Linked DNA regions of Astyanax mexicanus. The protein of the gene in region 1 interacts with the protein of each later gene in a biochemical or structural test. Links are inferred from orthologs where the notes say so. Each region holds a gene or a part of one and is shown on either strand. Other genes may lie near its edges.

Evidence for each region.
Region 2: the proteins of nup155 (region 1) and gle1 form a complex in vitro, tested with the Homo sapiens proteins (2 studies listed by BioGRID). The link is inferred for Astyanax mexicanus from reciprocal best matches to the Homo sapiens genes NUP155 and GLE1.

Annotation. Positions count from the first base shown.
Region 1 is NC_064427.1:4,555,613-4,563,122, forward strand, and holds the start of nup155 (nuclear pore complex protein Nup155), read right to left. Parts: upstream 3,006-7,510; 5' UTR 2,945-3,005; exon of another isoform or gene 2,862-2,944; intron 1,868-2,861; 5' UTR 1,847-1,867; coding exon 1,705-1,846; intron 1,616-1,704; coding exon 1,478-1,615; intron 1,291-1,477; coding exon 1,194-1,290; intron 1,102-1,193; coding exon 1,031-1,101; intron 730-1,030; coding exon 637-729; intron 493-636; coding exon 229-492; intron 140-228; coding exon 66-139; intron 1-65. Other genes in the region: nipblb (nipped-B-like protein B), read right to left, coding at 5,821-6,186, 6,593-6,769, 7,247-7,421.
Region 2 is NC_064419.1:290,473-297,648, reverse strand, and holds the start of gle1 (mRNA export factor GLE1), read right to left. Parts: upstream 3,052-7,176; 5' UTR 2,939-3,051; coding exon 2,840-2,938; intron 1,926-2,839; coding exon 1,677-1,925; intron 1,497-1,676; coding exon 1,338-1,496; intron 587-1,337; coding exon 438-586; intron 279-437; coding exon 218-278; intron 52-217; coding exon 1-51. Other genes in the region: c12h22orf39 (UPF0545 protein C22orf39 homolog), read left to right, coding at 3,247-3,357, 4,847-5,014, 5,144-5,275; mrpl40 (39S ribosomal protein L40, mitochondrial), read right to left, coding at 7,082-7,176. UniProt on the Homo sapiens protein: Required for the export of mRNAs containing poly(A) tails from the nucleus into the cytoplasm. May be involved in the terminal step of the mRNA transport through the nuclear pore complex (NPC).

The sequences.
Region 1 (7,510 bases):
AAACACAATGACCAGAAGCAACTTAATAATATACATTTAAAAGAAAAGAAAATGAACACACTGACCTGCAGCACACCCTTCTCAGACCTTGTGTACAGAGTGTTGCGGGAATTGTCAATAGCAATCTGAACAACCGGATCTGTGACAAAGACAAAACAAAGAAAAATTATAAACAGGCATTACAAACACCTTTACAAAGTTCATGTCTATGTGCAGCAATGTTCTTACCATCTTCAGAAAAGGAGAACTGCAGCAGAGATGGTATAAGGAAAGACAGGCTGCTCTTGGAGTGGTTGATTTTCCTGCAGCGCTGGCTGAACCAGCCAGCTTCAGCCTGGTAAGCAATCTCATACAGGCAGCCATCCTTCCCAGCCAGAAAGATGCGTCCGAGATCGGTGGAGGTGATCGCCAGCATGTAGGTGTTATCCGTGGGGATGGAGTAGAGCGGGTCGGGCAGGAGCTGCATGGCTCCAGACATACTATCATTTAACCCTGAGAAAGAGACATTCAGAACATTTGTCCTTTTAAAACCAGGTGCTTTTAGCTTGACTGCTCTCATAGGTTTAGGGTTTATGTGACTTGGTGTGATTGGTAGTAGGACATATTAATTATTAGAAAAGTACAAGAAAGACTCACCTGTGTGAGCTTTAGGAAAGCTCAAACCCAGGATCACAACATCCACTGGTGTGGCCAACACTAACAAGAAGTGAATGTGAGGCTGGAAAATTCCTGTGTGAGGAAAAAATGGGTATCAGTATATAAATGAGAAATATTTAGACAATCTACAAAAAAATTAAACACAGAAATAGCTGTTCCTATTTAATTTAAAATTGTATTAAATAAAATTAAATAATTTGGGATGACATGTTATCACGTTCCCTTAAAATTTGATATATGAAATCATTTCTGCACAACAATGCTAGTCAAGAAAGTAGTGAGAAAACAGTCAGACATCTTAACATAATTTGTCTTTTATTAATAGTTTCATTATTTAAAGCCTTCTTTGATCACTTGTGTGTCATCCACTCACCTTCCTTTGGCTTTACTAGTCCAACTGAAAGGATAGTTTCACTCAACCCATCAAAATATGCCACATCTCCTCTAAACAAAACAAGAAAATAAATCAGAAATTAAAGCTGGCACTAAGCAGGTCTATAAACATGATACATTTTTACTCCAATTGCAATACTCACCCATCCTCATAATTCCACATGAATAGGTCATTATCAATAGTCAGCCATGCTCTGCTGATCTCAGGGAAAACTCCCATCATGCAATTGCACTGCATGTCTGAAGTTTCAGGATTAAGGTATGTCAACACTGCTAGATATAATTATTTCACAATTACTTAAACATCCCTCAACCAATCAGATATTAGAATTATTATAGCAACATGCTATGAACACATTTAAATACGTTCTCTCATATTAGGTCCACCATACTTAATTTCAAATGCAGATTTTAACTGAGAGGATACGGCTAAACTGTTCCACAAGCTCTGGAGGCAGAGGGACTCTACGCACAGCACTCAGCTCTGGCAGGTTGGGCACACTGATGAGTCCTGGTCCTTGTAGTGGGTAATCCATGTCTGATACCCCAGACAGAGAGGGCATATCTGATAGAGAGATATAAACAAAATGTGGTCAGAGTCAGTTATACTGTGTACATAATACATGTGTCACTGACAGCCAAGTGTGTTCTTACTGTGTGAGGGGACATTGAGCAGCTCTGACAGGTCTGGAAAGCAGCGGTCTTCCTGCAGATGTCGATCAATGAGCCTGCCAGAGTTTTCTAGAGCTTCTTGCTGAGCCGCTGCCATGCTGCTGGGGCCCAGGCTCGACGGCATAGCTGCAGTTCTGAAATAAGCCTACGAAAAAGCATTTTTCATGATCACCAACACACCTATTAGCTTAACGTGGTCTCATAAGAGACTAAAATACACGTTATGAAATATTTTTTGTGAAACATCAGAATTTTAGCTCTAAAGTATTTGCATGCATATGCACACAATAAGAGAAAAAACAAGAATGGGCTGCTCACTGAATTTATCAGTAAGTTTTAAATTTGGTATTAATATCAAGAATTTGTTCAGTGTAACATAATGTGAAATATTTTCCATAACCCCTGGGCAACTAAGAGGCAATGTGCAATTATTTGTAAATACAATCAATCATATATTGCAAAATATTGAATATGGTGTATTGTATTGTATATATAAATATTATTATATATATTGTACTGTATATTTTATCTTTTTTTTTTTACTAAGTGTCTAGCTATGCTTCTGTGACAATGAATTTCCACACAGTAATAAAGTATCATCTAATCTTATCTTAATATTCAGAAGAGGATCTGAGCTAATAATAACAACAATAATACTACACTAGCTAACTAGTTCGTTAACATGGATACGTTAGCTATAACTTAACAACTAGTGATATTAGGTGTGCTAACTAGGTTCGCTAGTTTAGAGTAAAATAAATATCAGTCACATTAGACAGTATACAAGTTAACGTAGCTTACTAAGACAGTAGTTAACTAGCTAGCACGTAGGAACACATTTTGCATTTATTCTGCAGTATCTCTGCTTATAGGTTAATTTTGATATATATTAAGAGAGATTTTATTACATATTTCCTATCCTCATTTTAGTAAGTTTGTTAAGCTAACTATGTTGGCTAGCTTAGCTTTAGCCAGACCTCTTTCCATCTAAGTTAGCTGTTACTGTTTGTTAGGCTGATTTAGCTACAGAAGTCAATAGCCGGTTAGCTTAGCCTGGTTAGCATAGTACTTAGCTTAATGCTAAACAGCCATAAATACACTTAGCTACGCAAAATAAAAACCGGGTTTATTCCTGTTACCGTACGGTTTATCAGCCCGCGCGCTCCGCCTCTCTCGCGCTGTAACGGTTTTTACAAAGAACGCGCTTTTTAAATCCACTCGCCTCCTCGAGACTCACACTCTCCCGCCAAGCTCGTGCGCTCCTCAGCGCCCTGATCACTGGGAATTGTATTTCCGGCTCAAACATTTACCACACATTCGCTCTTCATAATAAAAGTAGCTCGAACTTTTTCTTCAGTTTGGGCTCTTTTATGATGAAAATTAGAGATATGCAGACACAAAATGTAATAAAAAGGAATTGTGTATTTATATCTTAATTTTTTTTTATATTTTAATGTCTCAAATATTTTTTAAATAGCCCTTTTATTTAAATATGTATATGCATATGCAATAAAAATGTTTTTTTAAAACATATTTTTATTTGCTTAATATATATTTACAAAACAAATTAAAAATAGGTTCTAAAAACAAAAAATGCACAAGCATATACATATTTATATGAAGGGGCTCTCAAATATTTATAAACTATATGAGATATTTAAATATTAAAATACAATATATTTATTTTCATTTTGTTTTTTTTTATTATTATTTTTTGCATATATGGATGGATGGATGGATGCTCTTATCTGGGGAGATGTTAACTTGTGGTTTCTGAGGCTGGTTATTTTGATTAACTTATCCTGTGCAGTTAATCACTACAGAAACCCAAACTTCATGTGGCCTTCAGGTTAGTTCAAGAACAGTAGACTGTAGAGAGCTTTGTGGAATAGGTTTCCATGAACAAGCAGCTCCAAGCCTCACATCACCAAATGCAAGACAAGTGAGTGAATACTTTTGGCAATAAAGTGTGTATATATCAGTTCCACACAATTTTTTTTAGTCCCATTTTCCATTTATATTTTATCCTCAGTTAACTCACATTTCATTAACACTGGCACAAAATGAACACATCTTCTCGTCAGGCCCAAGATTACATTGCATGTCCAAACCATGACATTTGCTTAAACAGGTCTGTGACCAGAAGCTTTGATCACAGTGTTTAGTTATTGAAAGTATATCACACTCTGAGAACTGCATCAGAACTTGTTTCTGTAGCCTACAGTGAATATTCATGGTCTGCTGTCCAGTGCTCAAACTCTCCAGTAACTTTCATATTTGGATTACAACTTTAATACAAATGTGGCCTACAAAATATCTGTAAATAGCTACTGCTTTTATTTTTGTCATTATACTTATACACCTGTACAGTGTTACACAGTGTCCACATATCCCAAAAAAAGCTGGGGTCAGACCTCAGGGTCAACCATGCTACAATACCAGTGGAGAAGATGGGGATAGTGGCAACACAACCCTCTAACTGCAGAACCACTACTTATTGTAGTGCAGCACAGTCACTCAGACCTGATGTTGAACCCAGTATCCCACATAGTTTGATAGGTCACTTGCAGACAGTGGTGTTATCCATTGTGCCACAACACCCACCAGTGCCATTTAGTATTCATTTTGATTTTAGCTATTAAAAAAATCACCAGAATCATTTTAATTAAATAATTTACACAGTAAAGGTTTTTCCCATAAACTGAGCAGCATCCTACACAGGGTCTTATTCTGAGATATTCAAATTATAAACCATTAGAGCACACTGCCACATCCTTGTTTCCTGCAACCTGCAAATGACCATATTTGTAGCTCTGATATTGGATCTTTTCTCGTTGCTACGTTCACAGTAAATAAGAGAGTGATTTTTGGATCTCCTTGTGAGCAGTCACCTTCCATCCTGTTAAGAAAGTGAAAGTTTCATGAATATATTCCTTAACTCCTCCATACATCAATGTAGGACAGGAAGAAGAATAACACTGTACACATTAAGCCCTTCAGTAGTAACTGTAATTATATGAAAGTGAAGACCAGCAGTCCATCCTGGTGGTGGTAGACACAAGAAGATCGTTATGTAGCTCATCAGAAAGTGAGAACTTTACTCTGTATACAGTGAGAACTTTTCTGTAAAATTAAAAGTGGGGTTATAGGGATTTGATTACGGCAAACTTCTCTCCTATCATTAGAAAAAAAACAATACAATTGAATCACTAAACACTAATAAAGCAGCTTCACTTTTCAGAAAAAGGGAGACTCAGATCGTCTTACAACTGCTAGTGCTAAAAAAAATAATAATGATAATAAAAGTCAAATGCAAACAAGACAAGTAACAAAGAGAAGTAAAAAAATTTATTGCAGTATTTGTTCCGCCAGAAGTGCTGGGGATCCCTTTTTTCTCTCTAGGGTGACCTAATACATCAAAATCTACATTTACAAAAAAATCTCCCCCTGCATGTAGGCCACAGATACTGCATGCTCTGCTTTTAACAGAATAAATTATGTCCAGGAGACTCCATTGTACAGCATGAGTAAACAAAAAAAAAGGAGTAAAACATAAAGCAGAGGAAATATTTAAAAGTTTTTTTCCCTGGACACTGAGCTAAGCTAAAGAAATCCATCCGGTGCTAGGTTTAACTCCAAGAACACTTTATTAAGAACATCAACAGACTAATTTCCAACATTCACTTTAAGTTTATTTTTTTAAACAGATTTTTTCGTCAGATATAAACATTTTTGTTTTCGTTTGTTGTTTTTTATGTTAAACTATGATACAGTGGGAGTAAAAATCACACGACCAAGTTGCTGCACAACAGCGAAGGAGCTCCCACACAATGTTTTCCAAACATTTCCTTCTGAATGTTTCTGTCCTGTTTAACTTAACTTTAACGGGTCCGGTATCTTCTGCTGCAGGTCCTCGTGTTAAAATGCTATCCCCGCCCCTCCTCCCTCTCTCATACTGTTTCCATCTTCGTGACAGTGGATCTCAAGGTTTCTGTGAGTCTGTAGTATTCTTGCCTTACTGTCTGGGTTTAGAAAATGTTGGATCCCAATAAAGTTTGGCTGCTGAGAGTTCATGTAGGAGTAACTGTAGTTAATTAATTAGCTGGAAGTCCCCTCCTTGGCTGCGTACAGTGATCGTAAAGTCTGCACCATTTTGTTAGTCAGCTTGTGAGCACTCGTCAAGGCGATTTTCTTGTAAATGATGTCCGACTCCTTGATAGTGTCCACCCAAGGCACCAGTTTGCGTCCGTCTCGTTTCTTGGCCTCTGCCCAAGTGCCGGAGTAGGAGCCGGCCATCCAGTGCACGCTGTAACCGTTGCTCGTCTTCTGGATGACGCGCGCTATCTGCGGCCGGTCCTTGTACTTGGGGCAGCAGATAGCGATGACGTCCATGGCTTCTACCGTCTCGTTCAAATGACCTGATGCGTCTGCAGAGTCGCCGCCTCTCCTGGATCGCCGTGATGCCTGGAGAAGGAAATGAAGGAAAAAAATAATTATAAAAACATACATAAAAGATTTTACTGGATAAAGTTATTCAAAGCGGAAAAAGCACTTATTTCTAAAGCAAATAAGAGTAAAAAAAATTATAGTATCAAATTAATCAAATAATACTTTTTTGTAGAGCACATTTCCTAACCTGCGTCAATGCAAAGCAGATTAACACAAATCTGGTAATAAGAAAAACATCAACAGCCAAAGGGCCACAGTGGCAAGAAAAAAAAGAAAGAAATAAAAATCTCCCGTCCTCCTCTAAACAGTTACTAATTATAAAAGGTATGGCTTGAAAAAAATGAAAAAAAAAAAAAATCACTGGGGCACTGATTTAATCATAATAGTTATCATAAGAATAATAAAAGCAGTATCAACTTACTCCAGGTGCTTTCTCTTCTCCGTCGCTTTCTTCATCGTAAGAGTCAGCAGCGTTGTTCTTCGGGCTGGAGCCTCCCAGAAGAGCAGTGATGGCTTTGTTTCTGGCGTGGGTGCTGGCTGACGCCTCGCCTTCCTCATCCTCCTCATCAGGGTCCAAGTGCTCCATCAGTACCTTAAACTGTAAAGAAAAAAAATACATGACATGAGTCACGTGAATCAACAGATCAATTTAATATTTAATATCATTCAGAGGAGAACATGGCAAATATTTACTGAAGTCAATCCAAAAGTTAAACATCTGTAGAAAACTTCTGATTAGTTTGACATGACTGGCTCAAATGTGGACAACGTTGCATAGATATATTCATTGGTCTCATCCAAAATGTGTACCTTTACAGTGTAGCTGGCTTTGGGAGGTGAGACATGTTGAGTTCAGCAAAATAAAAGCTAAGATCAAAAAAGGCAGTTGGGGAAATAAAATTTAAAAAAATCTGTATATCTGAATACAAACCTGTACTAACTTTACATTCATCAAAACTAACATTTTGATAAATGGTGACAGCGGAGAATTCATAAATCTCTCAACTACACCTGGTGTGTGGTAGAGTTTGGTGTGTGGTAGAGGGGTGGGGAGGAACTTTTAGGATATACTTACGTCCAAGTATTGCTTGACAATCTTCCTCTTGATGTCGTCTGTGAGCTCGGCATTTGAAAGGCCGTTGGCCAGGAACTCTAGCGTCTGCCGTGGGTTGAAATGCACGTTGTTTTTCCTGTTTACTGCCTTGTCATACACCTTCGCTGACTCCGTTGGAGAATACTTCTGGATTTTGCTGTTAAGAAAGAATGAGTTGCAAAGACAAAGACAAATAATTTGATCAGATATAATTATTTTTATAGTACAGTGAATTAGCTTTCCAAG
Region 2 (7,176 bases), on another chromosome or scaffold:
CGCCTCTCGCAGCCGCTGCTGCTCCGCCTCCCTCAGACGCAGGTTCAGGATCTGATCGAGCAAATACAGGTTAATATTAGGGGTGCAAAAATTAATTCATGCATCAAGATGCAAGAATCTTAAAGCTGCAATCTTGGGGCGATTTCACATAAGTCTGAATCAGAGTCCGCACTAAAGTTTGTGTGTTTGTTACAGGTGTGTGTTTTTTGATTCCTACCTTCATTCTATGTCTGTGCTCCTCCTTCAGTTTCTCTTGTCGGCCGAGGGTTTCCTGCGTGCTTTTAGAAGACAGATAACACAACATATTTATTAGTTGTGGGATAAAAGCAAAATATTTTTTGCATCAACATTTTAAGGCTAAACACTTAGATGAGTACAGAAAACATGACTAAACCTCAGTTCATCACAGCATCACACACTGTGCTTCTAGTACTCACTCTTTTTCCACCATGTCCCTCACGCTCTGATACTCCTGCCTCTGTTTGAGCTCCATAAACTCCTCAAAGCGTTTCAGCTGCTCAGACTCACGGCTGGCCACAGTAGCTACCAGCCTCTCCTGCAGCTCCTGCCTCAGACTCAACTCCGCCTGTCAGCCACAATCAGTTCACCACAGTTCATCGTTATTATGGAACAGACATGCAACCACAGTACATGTCAATTTTGTGAATATATTATGAAATATGACATAAATAAGGTGTTAATGACAGTATTCTTTAGTGTAGTGCATTAGTAATTATATATGTTTTTGTTCTTCTTTCCAGCACAAGTCAGTATAATTTTTTTAACATTTTTGCTGCTTAATACAAAGAAAAATTTTACATGACAAAAGCTACAAGATTTTATTATTATATCAAATACCTAATACCATTAATTGTATTAATTGTACAATCAATCATTGATGCATATATTGCATTATTAATATTATGATAAGTTGGATCACTGACTTCTGGTCTTTTTTAATAACGCAATATATATCACAGAACAACAATATTCTACAATTGTTGTTAATCACTATAATATTGATGACATGTTATGTAGGACAAATTTCTTTGGCAAGGAGAAATTTCTGTCAGGTAGCAGCTTACACTTAGTTTTGAGCTTTTTATTCAGTATCTTCTCTTCTGCAGGTCAAACGTACGCACATATATGTTCATATAAGTTATTGACTAGATTAATTAAGCATTAATATTTAGGGTCCAGGAAAACTCGAGCCTCATACATTGTACATTTATGTCTAGTATAATGTAATGTGTATAGACTTTTTATTTTGTATTTTTTGTGTTTTTGTACACTATATGTATTTTTATACTATATGTAATTTTGAATGTACACTTTACCTTGGCTTTAGATCGATGTTTTTCCTCACAGATACGAATACACCCTGCCATCTGAGAGGCTCTGGGAGAAAGGAGGGAGATTGCTGGTGGTGGAGTGCTGCAGGGAACAGGGCTGAGGTCCACTGTGGAGTGTGAATTTTCCAGTTTATCCTCATTTACCTAGAGCACAATAAAACAACAGCATAAGATAAAAAAGCACAAGAATGAAGTACAATTCCATTACAGAAAAAAGCTGAGAAAGTACGGAATAATGCAAAAAATAATAATGCAAATAAAGTACACTGTTCCGCTATGTATTATAGTGTCATGTCATCAAAAAAATAAAAATAAACATTATACCTTCTCTTCACTTTCAATAGAGGCCAGCGGAGGCGAGGTGGCAGGTGATAACGGAGAGGTGAGGGTGTGGTGTGGACTGATGGGAGCTGAACTGCACAAAGGAACATCTTCAGAGGTGGAAAGACTCGTATCACGGATGGGAGAACCCAGTGAACAGTTTTTGAGCAGAGGTCGAGGGCTCAGTCTCTTCAGAATAGCACCTGATAGAGGCGAGAGGCTGGTAACCTCTTTACAGCCTGCGAGAATATCCTGAAGATGAGAGATGAAGAGAAACATACATAAATGATCAAGGAAATGGACGTAACAAGCAGCGAATTTACCTATTTTAGGATATGACCACTAGTTTTTTGGTTTTTGGAATGAAACTACATCTGTTTTTACTTTTCTCCAGTGAAGCCTTTGCAAACTATCATCCCCAAACAATGACTTAGTATCTCAAAATAATGAGATAGCATCTCAAAATAACAATAGATCATAAGATAGTATCCAAAAATAAAGACTTAGTATCTCAAAATAACAACCTGATATCTTTAAATAATGGGGTAGCATCAAACTAATGAGATATAATCTACACATAATGCCTTACTATCTCAAAATAATGAGACAGTCCCTCCAAATAACAACTTAATATTTTACAATAATGACTTTAAATCTTAGAATCAACTGAGAATATGGTGTGGAATATGTATCTCAGAATAAAGACTTCTCTAAACAATGAGATCTCAAAGATCTCTCCAAGTAACGACTTAGTATTTTTAAAATGAGATAATATCCCAAAATTAGACTTAGTATCTCAAAATAATGACTTTATATCTGAGAATCAACATAGAAAAAAAAGTATTAGTAAAAAAATTATTTAGTATCTCAAAATAATAATAGTCCCTCCAAATAATGATAATTACTATTTCAAAATAATGAAACAGCATCTCACAAAAATGACTTAGTATCTCAAAGCAATGAGATAGCAATTCACTTTTTGATTTTATATTGTTGATGGCGGGATGTTACTATTATAGCTGTGGTTATTCTTCACTCCAGATTAAAGTCTGTGAGATAAATTAGCAGAATTTTCGGCCAACAGACTAATCTAACTATCCCAGCTATCGAAAACTCAGATTAATACAGATTAATCAGTAAGATTAGATTAATTTAGCGGCTCTTACCTCCCCTTTCTCCAGCCAGTCTGGGCTGTATTTGAGTTTACCCTTCGAAGAGTTTTTTAAAGCCTCCAGCGTGTCCCACCTTAAACTATCTGCTGCCATTTCGGTAAAACTTTAAACATAAAGCTTAGCTTAGCCTAGTTTAGTTTAGCTAATATTCTACCAAGCGGCAGATTTGGACTGTGGGACTTTTAGAAACACAACACGCTAATTTCCGCTTCCTGTGAGCGATAAATTAAAAGTCCCACGACTACTACTAACTACGTGACAAACCTGATATATATAAATATGTTGTAATTCGCTGTCTATTAATCAGTGAGATCCTTTTGATAGCTATAGTGAGTTATTAGCTAAATTAAACACTTTTATTGTGCTCGGTTATTAAAAGAGTAGTGGTGATAATAGTGATAATGGTGAAAGGCGCGGGAAGTAGTTGGTTAGTGGAGGACAGCAGGGAGCGCTGTGCTGCAGCCGGAGTGCAGGGAGTGTGGAGTATGGCAGGGTCAAGAGAATCGTGGAGGGTAAATATGTGCCTGTTTTACTTTTAGTGTTAATATAGAGAACAGGTTGTATAAATATGTCTGTGATGTTGTTTGTGATGTGTTTATATCTTGTTTCGACGTGTGTTTCCTTATCGTTAGCTCTGAAGCTGATTTAGAGACTAGGCAGATCAGTAATCTTCCAGTGCTGAAGCAGATTTTATCATTTAACCTGCTTATTTAAAGAGGTACTAATCCATAAACCATGTTTATTTTCCATTAATAGCTGAAATAAATCCCTTTGAAGTGATTAAACATACCAGTCCTGCTTAAAATTATTATAACATTTCCTAACCTTCATTAGGTCATTTATTTATTGAGGCAAATTAAATACTTTAATATTTTTTAGTCGTTCTTTGTTAGAACAACTTGTGTTGCTTAGGGTCGTTGTCTTGTTACATGACCCACCTTTTCTTGAGACTGAGTTTGTAGACAGTCCTGACATTTCCCCCTAGAATTTTCTGATGTAATTCAGTGCTCCCTGTTCCATCAATGCTATCATCAATTCTTACAATAGATTTTTCTTGTTTTGTCTATGTGATCTTAACAATGTTCTTTTTGGAGAGCAGTGAATTTCTTTTAAGAAACCTGCCATGCACACCATTGTTGTTCAGTGTTCTCCTGATGGAAAACTGATAAACATTAACATTAGCCATTGTGAGAGAGGCCTTCAGTTGCTTAGAAGATACCCTGAGGTCCATTTTTGTGACCTGGCCGACTGTTACATGCCCTGCTCTCAGAGTGATCTTTGTTGGGCGACTACTCCAGTGTACCAGAACAACACACCCAAACCCACCATCACCATGTCAGCATCACTTCATGATCCACCACACAAATAATACTTGCCCTGTGGTGGTCCTGTGGGGTCTTTATCATTGAACAGAGTTAAAGGAGGATAATGAAGTATGCAGAGAAACCGATACAGGAAAGCTGTGTAATGATAGAACTGGCAGTGCTAAGTGCTAATATATGCTCATTGAACCTGAAAAAATAGACAATGGGTATAGAAAAAAGTAGGTGGTAATAATGTTATGTTAGATCATCATATGTCAGATTTATCAGATGTCATATTTTATAAGTAATCTATGCAGAAATCCAGATAACTTTTTTCCTTTTTTAACTTCCTTTGTTTGTTGTAAAAATAACAATTTTTTGCATGGCTTCTGCATGAGCACTGCTTTTCTTTATAAATACCTTTTTTTTATTTAAAATATTTATTTAGCACTTAAACATTTTTATATCCCATCATACAAACCAACACAGCACAATGCATGTACATCATTAGTGTTATTCTAATCATGAATTTACTTTAGGAGTGCTATTGTAATCATAAAATGTACCTTAGCAGTGCTGTTCTGATCATGCATTAAGTGCAGTATTGCTATTTTAATCATGCATTTACTTCAGCAGTAAATTTAAATTAAATCATGCTCTTTATAACTATTTTAATGTTTCTTGTGCCTGATCTCAGCCACCACGATTGTGTGATACCTACTGGAGTGAATTCAGGCACTGTAAGAGTTTACGGCACCGGTTCCATCACTACTACACCTATGGAACAACACCGATGTGCCAGCAGTGGAAAGAGGACTATGAGGCGTGCAGGGAGTGGGAGAAGACACAGAGCGCACACGCCAAGGTCAGTCTCATGATTCCTGCAGTGCAAGGTGTGCATGAGACCATATCTGTGCACACTTTAGTGCATATACTGTGTATTTCTTCAGTGCTGTTTCTGTGCAGCTTATCCTCTCCTCTTCTGTTTGTTCAGGAGTGTCTCCAGAAAAGTGAGAGTAGTCGAGTGTCTGAGCAGAGGAACTTCACTCCAGTTTGGAAGATGAGAGATAAACCACCATCTGACTGGCACACGCCTCTAAATCAGGACAACCCAGAGGAGTCTTAAGAGCACAAATTAACTGTACTGTCTCTCTGTTTCTGTCACAAATAAAAAAAAAACGTCAAAACATCGAGAAGAACCGAGAACTTTTATAGCTTTAAATTGCCGATATACACACATCGTCCTCATCCATCACGTGTTCACCAGAATCATTTACAACAAAAAACAAAACAAATCTGTTTTTTTGTCTGTTCACACTGTGATTTTAATGCAACTCATATCAGACTTCTGTCTGAATGGTTTGTGATGTGTTGCTGATGCACATGTACAAAAAAAGCATTGCTTCAAATTTATTTTCACATTAATCTCAAGAGTTTTGAAGGGGATTAGGCTGCATCTGAGCTTATCACAGAGAATTTTATCCTGTTTTCTGTAAAAATGCCCTGTTATTCGGTTATTTCGGTTTTGTCAGTTTTTCTGATGTTACAGCTGCAATCTGTAGCCACATTCGGCCAGCCTGTTAGCACAAGCCTTCTAATTTTTATGGGAACAGAGTCATCAGTCTAAATATTTCAGATGTTTTTACTTCGTTCTTCCACTACTGAAGGGCTCATCTCACTGCTTTTTCCATTTTCCCATCTACTCACTCCCTTCTTTCCCTGTTTGTGACGTAAACGTTGCATTAATTACACTGCCACACAAACAGCACACCTGTGTCACATATGACGTAAAAGGTTGTATTTGGGCTTCATTTACCTGCTGTGTGTCTAAAACCTAAGATTTCCAGACCAATGCTTTTCCCTCACTGATAGACTGTGTCCAGTTTTGCCCCAGTTTTGTTCTGATTCTGATACCTATTCACATATTTAACAAAGCAAAAATCTGATTCATGCCCGATTCCCATCATCTGAATAGCCAAGTTCATGTAATTGTGTTGATCTGATCACTGACAAACTCTAAAGATCTAAATTTCCTTCAGGATCAATAAGGTATCTATATATCTCGGTAAGATCTGCAGTAATCAGATTATGAAGTGCATGTAAATAAATCTATCAGTTATATAATCTTGGACACACAGCATTTTGAATGGAGATTTTCCATTAAAGGGAAAATAATGTCTAGAATTATAGGCTATGTATATTAATTACAGACTCTTTTATGTATAAAAGTAAGTTTACTGTGTAAAGACTTGAAGTGCTGTGTTCTCTATGATCAGAAGTGTGTGCTCACTGACTGAATGTGTTGCAGTTGATTAAATAAACACTCATCAATGTCTGTTTAAATGTGTGTAAGTTTTATTTACAAAAATATGCACAGAATATTTCAGTTCAGTGTTGGGTTGTGTTTCAGTGCTAGTGGTGCAGTAGTACTTTCATCACAAATACAACAGTTTAACCATATCTGTGGTAGACAGACTGTAGGCACGTGTCTAAGAACACCACATATAACCAGCCAGTAGTTAGAGGAGAATGCAAAATGTACTTAAATACAACACATTTTATTAGCTAAAGGTTATTCTGGATCATTGTTATTGATATTTGTCTAAACACTTCACACACGTACAGAAGGGCTGGTATTTTCAACTGACTATAAAGAAGAAACCCCAATAAACAAGACTGTAATGATAGTGCCGGTAAATTTTTTATTTTGACTGAGCACAGACTGTATTTCATTCACATAAGAATCCAAGTTCACATAGTCTCTTCTCTACAGAAGGGAAGTAGATGAGTTCAGTACTTTCAGTACTAAAGTTCACGTCAAAATCGTCTTTGAACACAGATCCAACCATTTCAGAGCAGGAGATGCCCTGTGAGAACAGGGAACTGGAGGAACAGTTCTGTAACACGTTTCTGAATTCGTGATGTCAGCTGATCACTGAGTGTACACTCGTGTAATGTCACTGTATTTGCCGTCAGGAGCCTCGTAGTTTGTAAGAGGTGGAGTAAAGCTGGGACCCTGGTGCTGGA